3 linked regions of the Sus scrofa genome follow. The main gene of each other region encodes a partner of the protein of the gene in region 3 in a complex. Links are inferred from orthologs where the notes say so. Each region holds a gene or a part of one and is shown on either strand. Other genes may lie near its edges.

Evidence for each region.
Region 1: SF3B2 (region 3) and CRIPT share a complex: the UniProt entries of both Homo sapiens proteins name them as parts of the minor spliceosome. The link is inferred for Sus scrofa from reciprocal best matches to the Homo sapiens genes SF3B2 and CRIPT.
Region 2: SF3B2 (region 3) and SF3B4 share a complex: the UniProt entries of both Homo sapiens proteins name them as parts of the SF3B subcomplex of the 17S U2 SnRNP complex. The link is inferred for Sus scrofa from reciprocal best matches to the Homo sapiens genes SF3B2 and SF3B4.

Annotation. Positions count from the first base shown.
Region 1 is NC_010445.4:93,923,623-93,927,373, reverse strand, and holds the start of CRIPT (cysteine-rich PDZ-binding protein), read left to right. Parts: upstream 1-1,457; 5' UTR 1,458-1,591; coding exon 1,592-1,607; intron 1,608-3,531; coding exon 3,532-3,597; intron 3,598-3,751. UniProt on the Homo sapiens protein: As a component of the minor spliceosome, involved in the splicing of U12-type introns in pre-mRNAs. Involved in the cytoskeletal anchoring of DLG4 in excitatory synapses.
Region 2 is NC_010446.5:99,126,540-99,129,845, forward strand, and holds the end of SF3B4 (splicing factor 3B subunit 4), read left to right. Parts: intron 1-1,882; coding exon 1,883-2,056; intron 2,057-2,272; coding exon 2,273-2,460; 3' UTR 2,461-2,679; downstream 2,680-3,306. UniProt on the Homo sapiens protein: Component of the 17S U2 SnRNP complex of the spliceosome, a large ribonucleoprotein complex that removes introns from transcribed pre-mRNAs.
Region 3 is NC_010444.4:6,283,631-6,287,281, forward strand, and holds part of SF3B2 (splicing factor 3B subunit 2), read right to left. Parts: intron 2,609-3,651; coding exon 2,459-2,608; intron 1,789-2,458; coding exon 1,699-1,788; intron 1,590-1,698; coding exon 1,482-1,589; intron 1-1,481. UniProt on the Homo sapiens protein: Component of the 17S U2 SnRNP complex of the spliceosome, a large ribonucleoprotein complex that removes introns from transcribed pre-mRNAs.

The sequences.
Region 1 (3,751 bases), on a different chromosome or scaffold from region 3:
GCAAATACCAAGAAACAGCAGGTGCACACTGAAATACACAAATGGTGGTCAATGTCATCAAGAGCGTTCAAAAAACATCATGCTAAACTAAGGGATCTCAGCGCCCCAAAATACCAAAATGGCAATGTCAGACGCTAGATTCCAATGAAAAGAAGAGCTTCATGAAAAGGGAAAAAAAATTTTACTTTCTCTCTCTCCCATCTCTATATATCTATTTTATGTATGCATGTATTTACAAATTATCTAACAGAGAGCTTATATGTAGTATTGACTAATGTTAAGTAAGGAGTCCACGTGTCACACTGTGGTGACTAGTCCAGAATAAAACCCCATATATATACACACACATATATGTGTACGTGTGCGTATATATAAAAGGGTAAAAGGGCAAATCCAGGCCTTATCCTAACACTCTCATTTATTCACACTATATTTTTCAAAAGAAAATACATTACTGATAAGGAAAAAGACTAGCAGAGATTAGTAAACATTGCAAGCTACCAAGGTCCCAAGTGCTAAAGCCATTTCAAACCCTAGCTAACCTTTTTGATGATATAGATATATACTAGGAGGTATGAATGGCAAGAAAGGAGAAAGGAAATCTTTCTCACCGGTCCTATCTTCTTCTGGGCCACCCTCAAAATCCCAATTGACAGGAGCAGATTTGTACATAAGACAGTGAGCAATACACAAACTTAATGCTGCGTGAATGAGTGAATGAACGAAGAGTAGGTGCAGAGTTGCCCTTCCTGAGAAACCAGCCTTATATTAGGCCTTGGAGAGCTCAGGAGGACTTCCGCCAGGTGCCCCCTGGGGCAGCTATTGCCCAGGTGCCCGTGGTCTGACCTGGCCCAGATCCTCAAGCCTTGCAGCGGAAGAGAGGGCCATTCTGAAAGGCTCCTGGAGGCGCCTTCGCGGGAATCGTGGGACCGTAATCTCCAGCCCCATCCCAAACTGGGTCGCTGCGGACTCTGCCCAAGCCCCAGCCGACTGTGGGCAGAAAGGGACAAGCTGAGAAGCATAATCAAAGAGCACAGGCGTAAAGACCAAGAGAAACGGCGGGACAAACACAGAAAGTCGGAACTGAAAAAGAGCCAGTTCATCGGGGCAGCCCCTGGGTCACGCCGGAAGGGCGGCGCTCGAGGGGCCCGCGGGCAAGGGCCTATTGGTAGCAGAGATTTCCGATCAGTTGGGCAATTGGCGGGGGTGGCTTGCAGCCGCTGGAGGCTCGTGCGCCGGGAGCGTCCGGCTGGGCTTACCTAACTCTCCCGCTCGCGGAAGAGAACGGGAGGGCTACTACCTCCCACCATCAGGTGCAACTCGCCGCCCTGAGTCTCGCGCAGGCGCAGGCCAGCAGGGCGGAGACCGAAGGCCTCACAACCAATCGCAGAAGTGGAGAGGTGGGCCAAGAAGGAAGCCCCGCCTTCCCGCTCTCCTTTATTCCTCCCGCGGCTTTCCAGGTGTAGAATAGGCGGGGCGGAGGATCCGGAAGTGGACTTTCATAACCCGGAAGGGGAGTGTTTTCTCAGCTGTGGTGTTGATGGTTTCCAGCTCCCGATCCTACTGCGACTGAGGGAATCGTCGCGAAAGGATGGTGTGCGAAAAATGTGAGTTAAGGAAACTCTTCTGCGGGAGAAGAAGGCTGGGACAACCTAACTGGAGTTCCCCGGGACTTTATTCCTTTGTTTTTACTTTGGCCACAAGTCTCTGATTCTAGCCTCTGTTCTGTCCTGCCCTTTGACCATTCCTGCCTCTCCATCGACCGTATAGTCCTCCGTTTGTTGCATTCAGGGTGGTCTCCTTGTCTGTTTTGCACCTCCTTGTCTGTTTCCATTGTTTTCGTTCAACCCCTGAGCTTCTTGACTGGCTCCCTCATTTCAGAGCTTCAGGTTGAAATGGATCTTAAAAGTCGCTTCCACAGCAACTGGAGTTGCTAGGTTTAGCAAATAAAAGTACTGGACGCCCAGTTAAATTTGAATTTCAGGTAAACCAAGAATAATTTTTAGTGTGCGTCCTATGCAATATTTGAGATTTGGCTCTGTTTGCTGCTCCTTACTGCTGTAAAGCAAGGCACTTACTTTTAGGACATTGTCTACTGAAAAAGTATTCATTGTTTATTTGAAATTTAAATCTAACTTTTGGCGCAGGGTTCCATACCTGGCCCAGGAACTTCCACATGCTGTGAGTGCTTAAATGGTCCTTGAACGAATACCCAGAGTATTGAGGAATGGTGGCCGGTGTGTAGGAGAATCTCACCACCTTGGAAGCAGTCCGTGTTGATTTTACTGGCTTTTAGAAAGGTCTTTCCTTCTTCTAGTTGCCGTCCAGTAATTCTAATACCACCCTCTGAGATTTGATATTTTTGCTCCCACAAACTGGTTGTGTATTTAAAAAGAGCAGTCTTATTCCCGTTTTCCTGAGTCTAAACATGTCCTCTTAATTTGATTATCGTCAGTTTGATTATCATCTAATTAACTTGATCCATTTCGTTTACCCCCCCCCCACAGTATATAAAGCCTTATAGCTTTGAACACAGAATTTGAATCACAGTTTTCAGATTAGGTGAAAGAATGACCATGACAGTTACTTTAATACATTCTCAAGGTGCAGAGAATAATTTGGGATTTCTGTATCTGGAGACTGGCATTCAGGATGACCCTCTACAATGAGGCCACATCTTACCTTTTTAACTTTATTTTCACTAACCCTTACCATCTTTACAGTTCAGCCAAGCCAAACTATTTTGCCTGACTGCATGTACCTCGAGTTCTCCACGCCTTTTATCAGGATGTGTCCTTTATCCAGTTTACCTTCATCCTCCTTTCTCCTTTTTCTTCATGGTCTCATTACCACAAACCCTCTCTACTGCCTTCTTCACAAAGCTTTCCTGGATTTCCCTAGTCAAGGTTATTTCTTCCTCCATGGAATGTATCTTAGTACTTCAGCTCTTAACATACTGTTTACTTTCAGTTGAATAATGCTAAACTTTTGTTGTTGTTCTCGGAGCCCTTTGAGAATGTGACAAAAGCTGTGGACTTAACAGAGTCTATTAAAAAAAAAATGGATATACAGAGGTTTGTGTTCAGTTTCATCTTGTTCATGTATTTCCTAAGGTCCACATGTGAAAACTCAGGTTAAGAACTGTTGTTAGAGATAAATCAGTATGATGTAAACTCCTTGAAATCTAGAGCCTTATCTAATTCATTTTATTTTTCTCTGTACTTTGTACAATGGTTTATATATCACTGATATTTAGTAAATGAACAGATTTATCAGATTTGTTTAAAGCATTAATGTACAGAAACAAGCCTATTATAGGCCATACTATTATCCACAGATTTGACTGAGAGTCAGTTATCCATGGCCCACAATTAGTATCATAAGTCTCAGTTCACTGGCCCCAAGCCTCAGCAATAACAGATTTGTATGTAATATGAATATTAATACCATTGTAAACTTAAGGCACAATGTAGTGTATTTATTAGATAGTAATGCTAACCCCCCCCCACTTTTGTTATCTTGTTATAACAGGTGAAAAGAAACTTGGTACTGTTATCACTCCAGATACATGGAAAGATGGTGCAAGGAATACCACAGGTATTTTTCCTTTTAGAACATAGAAATTAAATCAGATACTTCCTGTGAATAATGTTTTAGCTTTTACATTATTTGTAAAATGTTGTTAAGCATACAGCATATTTCATCTATTAAATATTAAAGAATACTGGACATTCCCCCCCACAACAATTTA
Region 2 (3,306 bases), on a different chromosome or scaffold from region 3:
CTCCCAGACATTCTTTTATAGAAACAAACACAAAATACTTTAGCCTGTTTACTTTAACAACTATCAGCCTGTTTTCATTTCTTAAAGTTTTACCGAAGAGTATAACTATACTTGCTGGGTTTTGTTTTCTTAACCTTTACTTCCATTCTTTCCTCTGACTTCCACCCCAAAGCAGTCACCTACATGCCAAGTCTAGGCTGCTCCTTATCTTGTTTGATCTTTGCTATTCTTGAAACTGGCCGTGTCCTCCTGTTTGAAAATCTTGTCTTTTTTGGTTTTTATGGATTCTCTTTCTCTCTGAATCCTCAATCTCAGCCACCTTAATAGGCTCCTTTTTCTCAGCTGAGGTTTTTGTGTCTGGCTCTCTTTTTTGCACAGTCCCATTGTTTGTACACTGATGCCACCTAGATGGGTGGCTGTTCCATGGGTATTAACATTCCATACCCTTAATCTTACTGTTTAATGGATGACTACTTTTTTTTTTTTTTTTTGTCTTTTGTCTTTTTGTTGTTGTTGTTGTTGTTGTTTTTGTTGCTACTTCTTGGGCCGCTCCCGCGGCATATGGAGGTTCCCAGGCTAGGGGTTGAATCGGAGCTATAGCCACCGGCCTACGCCAGAGCCACAGCAACACGGGATCCGAGCCGCGCCTGCAACCTACACCACAGCTCACGGCAATGCCGGATCGTTAACCCACTGAGCAAGGGCAGGGACTGAACCCGCAACCTCATGGTTCCTAGTCGGATTCGTTAACCACTGCGCCACGACGGGAACTACTGGATGACTACTTTTATACCCCTGCCCTTCAACCTTATTCTTTCTCTAGTAGTCTTAGTTTTCAGGTGCTTGATTCAGAAATCTGGGAGCTATGTTTGACTCTTCCCTGTTACCCCACTCTTTTTTTTTTCTGTCTTTTGTCTTTTTAGGGCCGCACCTGCGGCATATGGAAGTTCCCAGGCTAGGGGTCTAATTGGAGTTGTAGCTGCCAGCCTACGTACGCCACAGCTGCACCAACACCAGATCTGAGCCGCATCTGTGACCTACACCACAGCTCATGGCATCACCGGATCCTTAACCCACTGAGCAAGGCCAAGGATCGAACGCACAACCTTACGCACCATGACAGGAACTCCACCCCACTCTTAATACCAAGTCTTATTAATACCTCTGCCATCAGCCCTCATTGTCAGTGCCCTAGTTCAGGCTCTCATATCCTCATTATTCCACACCTAATTTATTGTAGTAATTTTCTGACACTTTGACTCTAATTATCTCTACCTTCGATCGACTTTCAGTGAGTAATTTTTCTAAAATATAGATGTTCACACACCCTTGCTCAAAATTCTTTTGCTCCCTTTTACCTATCGAGTAAAGGCCAAACTTGTTAGCATAGCAGTTCTAGGTTTGTCATGATCTGGCTCCTCATTGTTCCCACAACTGCATTCTCCTGATTACCGACTTACTGGTTTTCCTATAACATACTGTGCTTTTGGACGTACTTGTGCTTTGCACGTGCTAATCATTTTGCCTAGAATGTTCTGTTCCCACTTGTTGTCCCCCTGAAAAATTCCTCTTTATCCTTCAGAATTGGATCTTGGTTCAGGCAGTATCTCTGTTACCTTCTCAAATCCTATTCAATAGCATAATCGTTCCATTTGTTACATACTTCTGCAGCACTTGTACAGTGCCTAAATCATGGAAGGAGCCAGCTGGGTGGTTGGGAATTGATTGGATCATAGGTTGGTTGGTTCTCTTGCTTGGAGTCAAGGATAAGGGCACTTTTTACCAGCCTTATTTTCCTTACTCTTTTCTTTCTCATTTTCTTTGCCCCCTTGTCTGATTTTCTTTTGTCTCCTTTGTGTTTGTGTCTGTTTTGTTCTCATAGGGATGTCTCAGATGCAGCTGGCCCACCATGGCCCTCATGGCTTAGGACACCCCCATGCTGGGCCCCCTGGCTCTGGAGGGCAGCCACCACCTCGACCACCACCTGGAATGCCTCATCCTGGACCTCCTCCAATGGGCATGCCCCCTCGAGGGCCTCCATTTGGATCGCCCATGGGTGAGTAGGTTCTGGCCACCTCTCTTGTCCTCATGTGTCATATTCTTGCAGCTTCTTTAGTCACACCTCTTATCCCCTGTGTGTTCTTTCTTTTCATTCTTGTATTTCTTTTCACTGTTTGCTTGTCTCTCCTCTTCCTTCACTGTCCCAATGTTTTGTCCTATTTGTCCCAATTATCTCCTAATTGTTTTTACTAAGTTCGTTCTTTTCCTGCAGGTCACCCTGGTCCTATGCCACCACATGGTATGCGCGGACCTCCCCCACTGATGCCCCCTCATGGATACACTGGCCCTCCACGACCTCCACCATATGGCTACCAGCGAGGACCCCTCCCTCCACCCAGACCCACTCCCCGGCCTCCAGTTCCCCCTCGAGGCCCACTTCGAGGCCCTCTTCCTCAGTGATTTCTCACTGTCTTTGCTCCTGTTATGTCCTCCCAATATCTTTTCACTTCCTTGGACCAATCAGAGTTGCTGTAGCTCGCAGGGGCTAGGGCACTAATCCCTCTCAGGCCTTTTTTGTAAGTGTAATTTTTTTTCCACAGGAGGTTTTTTTTCCCCCTCTATGTTGGTCCGAAGTGCTTTGCAAATGCACAGAGAAAATAAAACTTAACTCCTTGTTTATTCTTTGTGGTGTTTTCCTTGGCAAAACAACTTCTTTTTCTCTAATAAGAGGTGTCAGTCTAATAGGGAAAGACTGGTAAGGTCAGAATAAGGGTGTTTACTCCATGGTTTAAAGGCTTATTCTGGGAGTTCCCATTGTGGCTCAGCAGGTTAAGGATCTGACATTGTCTCTGTGAGGGTGTGGGGTCTATTCTTGGCCTCACTCAGTGGGTTAAGGATCCAGCATTACTAAGCTGTGGCGAAGGTCGCAGAGGTGGCTCAGATCTGGTGGTGTCATGGCTGTGACATAAACCCCAGCTGCAGCTCTAATTCGACCCCTGGCCTGGGAACTTAAGCATGCCGCAGGTATAGCTGTAAAAATAAAATTAAATAAGTAAATAAATACAGACTTATTCTGTAATGTGCTGTGGTGGTTGCTGGACTGCTGTGTACTACAGCAGTTATTTCTTTACATTAAACTTACCCATAAGATGAAGACCCAATATCTGTGATAAAGGATTATTGTGATTATTGTGACTATTAAGTGAGAACAGAATTAAAGTTCCTGAGGTAATGCTGGCAAAAATATGAAGTAACATGCACAAAGCTATTCATTGCAGCACTCTTTGTAATAGTAGCTTGAAAACA
Region 3 (3,651 bases):
ATACGGAGATGGGAAGCAGAAAGCCTGCTAGTAACTTCAGCCTTCAGGGTGGAGTTCATGCTGCCTAAAACTGAAACATGTACTTTGCAAGACACGACTCCAACTTCTTACTGATGTTCCTAATGTTGGCAAGCTTTCAGAATCTAGTTCTCTAAAGTGACAGAATTTTTTTTTTAAGGGCTTGTGCCATGTGGAAGTTCCCAGGCTAGGGATCGAATCTGAGCTGCAGCTGCCGGCCTATGCCACAGCCACAGCAACGCCAGATCCGAGCCATGTCTGTGACCTACACCGTAGCTGGTGGCAACACCAGATCCTTAACCCACTTGAGTGAAGCCAGGGATCAAACCCAGGTCTTCATGGCTATTGGTCGGGTTCATTACCATTGAGCCACAACAGGAACTCAAAGTAACAGAAATTTTTATCTGAAATTTAACAATCACTTCTTTCCCATTTTAATGACTGTTGTCTGTGAAATTTTTTATTGCTTTTTATTTAAAAACAAACTTAGCAGTTCCTGCTGTGGTGCAATGGGGTAAGAATCTGGCTGCAACTGCTCAGGTCACTATAGAGGCTAGGGTTTGATTCCCACCCTGGCACAGCGGGTTAAAAGATCCAGTTTTTCTTTCTTTTTTTTTTCTTTTTGCTATTTCTTTGGGCCACTCCCGCGGCACATGGAGGTTCCCAGGCTAGGGGTCGAATCGGAGCTGTAGCTGCCAGCCTACACCAGAGCCACAGCAATGCGGGATCCAAGCCGCGTCTTTGACCTACACCACAGCTCACGGCAACGCCAGATCCCCAACCCACTGAGCAAGGGCAGGGACTGAACCCGCAACCTCATGGTTCCTAGTCGGATTTGTTAACCACTGAGCCATGACGGGAACTCCAGATCCAGTTTTTCTGCAGCTGTGGAGTAGGGCACAGCTGCGGCTCAGATTCAATCTCTGGCCCCAGAACTTCCATATGCCATGGGTGCAGCCATAAAAAAAGAAAAAAAGGTAAAAAATAAAAATAATTTGCAACAAAATAGATTACTATTTTTAATGAAAAAAAGAAAGAAAACAGCATGAAGTTCATTCTCTAAAGGTTTTTTAAGTTTTGACTATTTCTCCAATGGTATTACCTCAATATAGAGATTTCTGAAGAAAAGAAATTAAAAAAAATAAGTTTAATGCCACTCTTAAAATTCTATCTGTCCATCCATGTACACATCAGAGAGAGATATCTGGAAATACATTCACCAGATATTAAACCTGGTTATTTCTGAGTGGTGAAATGTGAGCAATATGTGTTTTCATCTTTGTTCTCAATTCTGACTGACCATTTTATGACACACGTCTCGTGGTTTTCTTAAAACAAAAACCATACTCCTTTAATTTGAAAAAAAGCCAAAAGACACACAGTAGAAGAAAAGAAAAAAAATCCTCCTCTAGTTAAAGAGCCAGCTCCTCCCTTAGAAGAAGGACAGAAAGGAAAGCTCTCACCTCGGGGATGGGCGAGTTCAGCCCCGGGATCTTCAGGTTGGGGTACGACGGGGGCGGCCCGTAGCGCTGCATGGCGATCAGCCACGGGGGAGGGACCTTGTGTGCGTTCTGCAGGACGAGAGAGGACGGGCTCCCACCTGCCCGACCCGAGCCCTTGGCTCCCCCGCCCCATGCCCAACCTCTTCTCTGTTTGCCCAGCCAGGTAACTGGCACTCACTGGTCCTACTGGCATCCCCAAGGAAATCCGCAGCTCATCAGACAAATCGCCTGGCTTCTTCTCCTTCAGCCGTGTCTCAAACTCCTTCCCCTGAGGAAAAAGCAGAGCATGCCGTGCTGTGGGCTCCAGACACACACTGGGAGGTTACCTGCCAGGGGGCGGGAGAACAAAGAGGTCCCAAACCACAGCAGACAGAGTCCCTCGGAGGACTACCTAGTTCCCAGGGTTCTCGTCACCTCTGCCCCCGGCCGCGCCGGGGGTGGGGAATGATGATAAAAGCCAGGAAGTGGAGGGGGCAGGCACTCCCGCTGTGAGCGCACAGCCACTTCTAAGGACAGGCTTTCTCATCTCCCGGGTGGGGGCTTGGAGAAGACCGTCTCCAAGGGCCTTCGGCCTCAAAAATCCCACGACACCGCGCTGACTAACATCTCAAGGGCCAGAACAAAAAAACCAAAACAAGACAATTTTCTCCTGCCCCCAAGAGGGAATGTTTCCTAAAGCATCTGCCCTCGGCCCCTGTTTCTAAACTACCCACATACACGACTGCTGCCTCGAAGATGCGATCCGCATCCCTCCTCCAGAAAAGCACCCCTCGCTGCAAATGCCACCCCATCCAAGGGCAGCTAGTGGACAACCCAGAGCCTGAGGCGAGAGGGCCACCGGCCCCACCTCCAGCTTCCAAAGCCCCTGGGACCCGGCGTTCCGGGGTGGTGACCCAAGGCAGAGCCCTGCCCCCGCCCTCCCCGCCCCCGCTGCCGACCTCGTAGTACAGGTCCCCGTGGATGGTCAGCTTGGGCTTGGTCTGCCACTTGAAGAAGGCGTCGTGCAGCTTCTGGTAGTCGATGTCGATCTTGCCCATCTTGGGCCGGACCTTCTCTCGCATCTTGGACTTCATGGTCTTCTGCTCCTCCTGCGGGGATGGCACGGGGTACGGGAAAGGCCCTCAAAGTCCAACTCTGGCCAGATCTGGCCTCCCGCTCCCAAAAGAGATGGGGGAAACCTCATCCGTCTTAACTCCCAAGTCACCCAAATGCTTCCTGCTCAGTCCAGCCCCTCAAAGTTACACGACCCGTGCAGAACAAAATAGATGCATCATAAGAAATCACAATCAGCTACGTACATCAAATAATTTTTAAGCCATGGGATCAAGGGACTGACTCCTCAGCTCCCTCTGCAGAGACCTGGGTGACTAGGGCCTGACAAGGCACAGTTCTCACCACCTACTTCGGCACTTGCTGCATTTGTACACCACCCACAACTATCACCTATTCAGAGTATTTAATTAAAAACTTTAAACTTGGAGTTCCCATTGTGGCACAATGGTTAACGAATCCAACTAGGAACCATGAGGTTGTGGGTTCCATCCCTGCCCTTGCTCAGTGGGTTAAGGATCCTCCAGTGTTGCCATGAGCTGTAGGTTGCAGACGCGGCTCAGATCCCGCACTGCTGTGGCTCTGGCGTAGGCCAGGGGCTACAGCTCCAGTTAGACCCCTAGCCTGGGAACCTCCATATGCCACGGGAGTGGCCCTAGAAAAGGCAAAAAGACAAAAAAAAAAAAAACTTAAACTTAAGAAATTACTCAACCAGCATACAATTCCAGCCACAAGTGTATCCAGTTCATATAATAAGCAGAGAACCAGACACAGCGAGAAGCAACGTGCAAGGAAAGGAATCACCACGTGCCTCTAGATCAGAGAGCCGGGAAGGGCAGGCATGGACGCGAGGAGCCCGGGGCGAAAAGAGAGCCACACAGAACCGGAAGTGGGGAGCACCGGCCTCAACAGAGGTGAGGTCTGCCTTTCACGTGATGCCCTGCCCCTCCTGCCCGCCCCGCCAGGCGTCATACGCAGCGCTGACTTCCAAACTTAAGACTGAATCAGCAGACAACGAACGTGTAGGTGGGTTTGAGGGAAGCCCATTTGGAAGCAGGCTGCTGTCAAGGTCCGCCAGGGC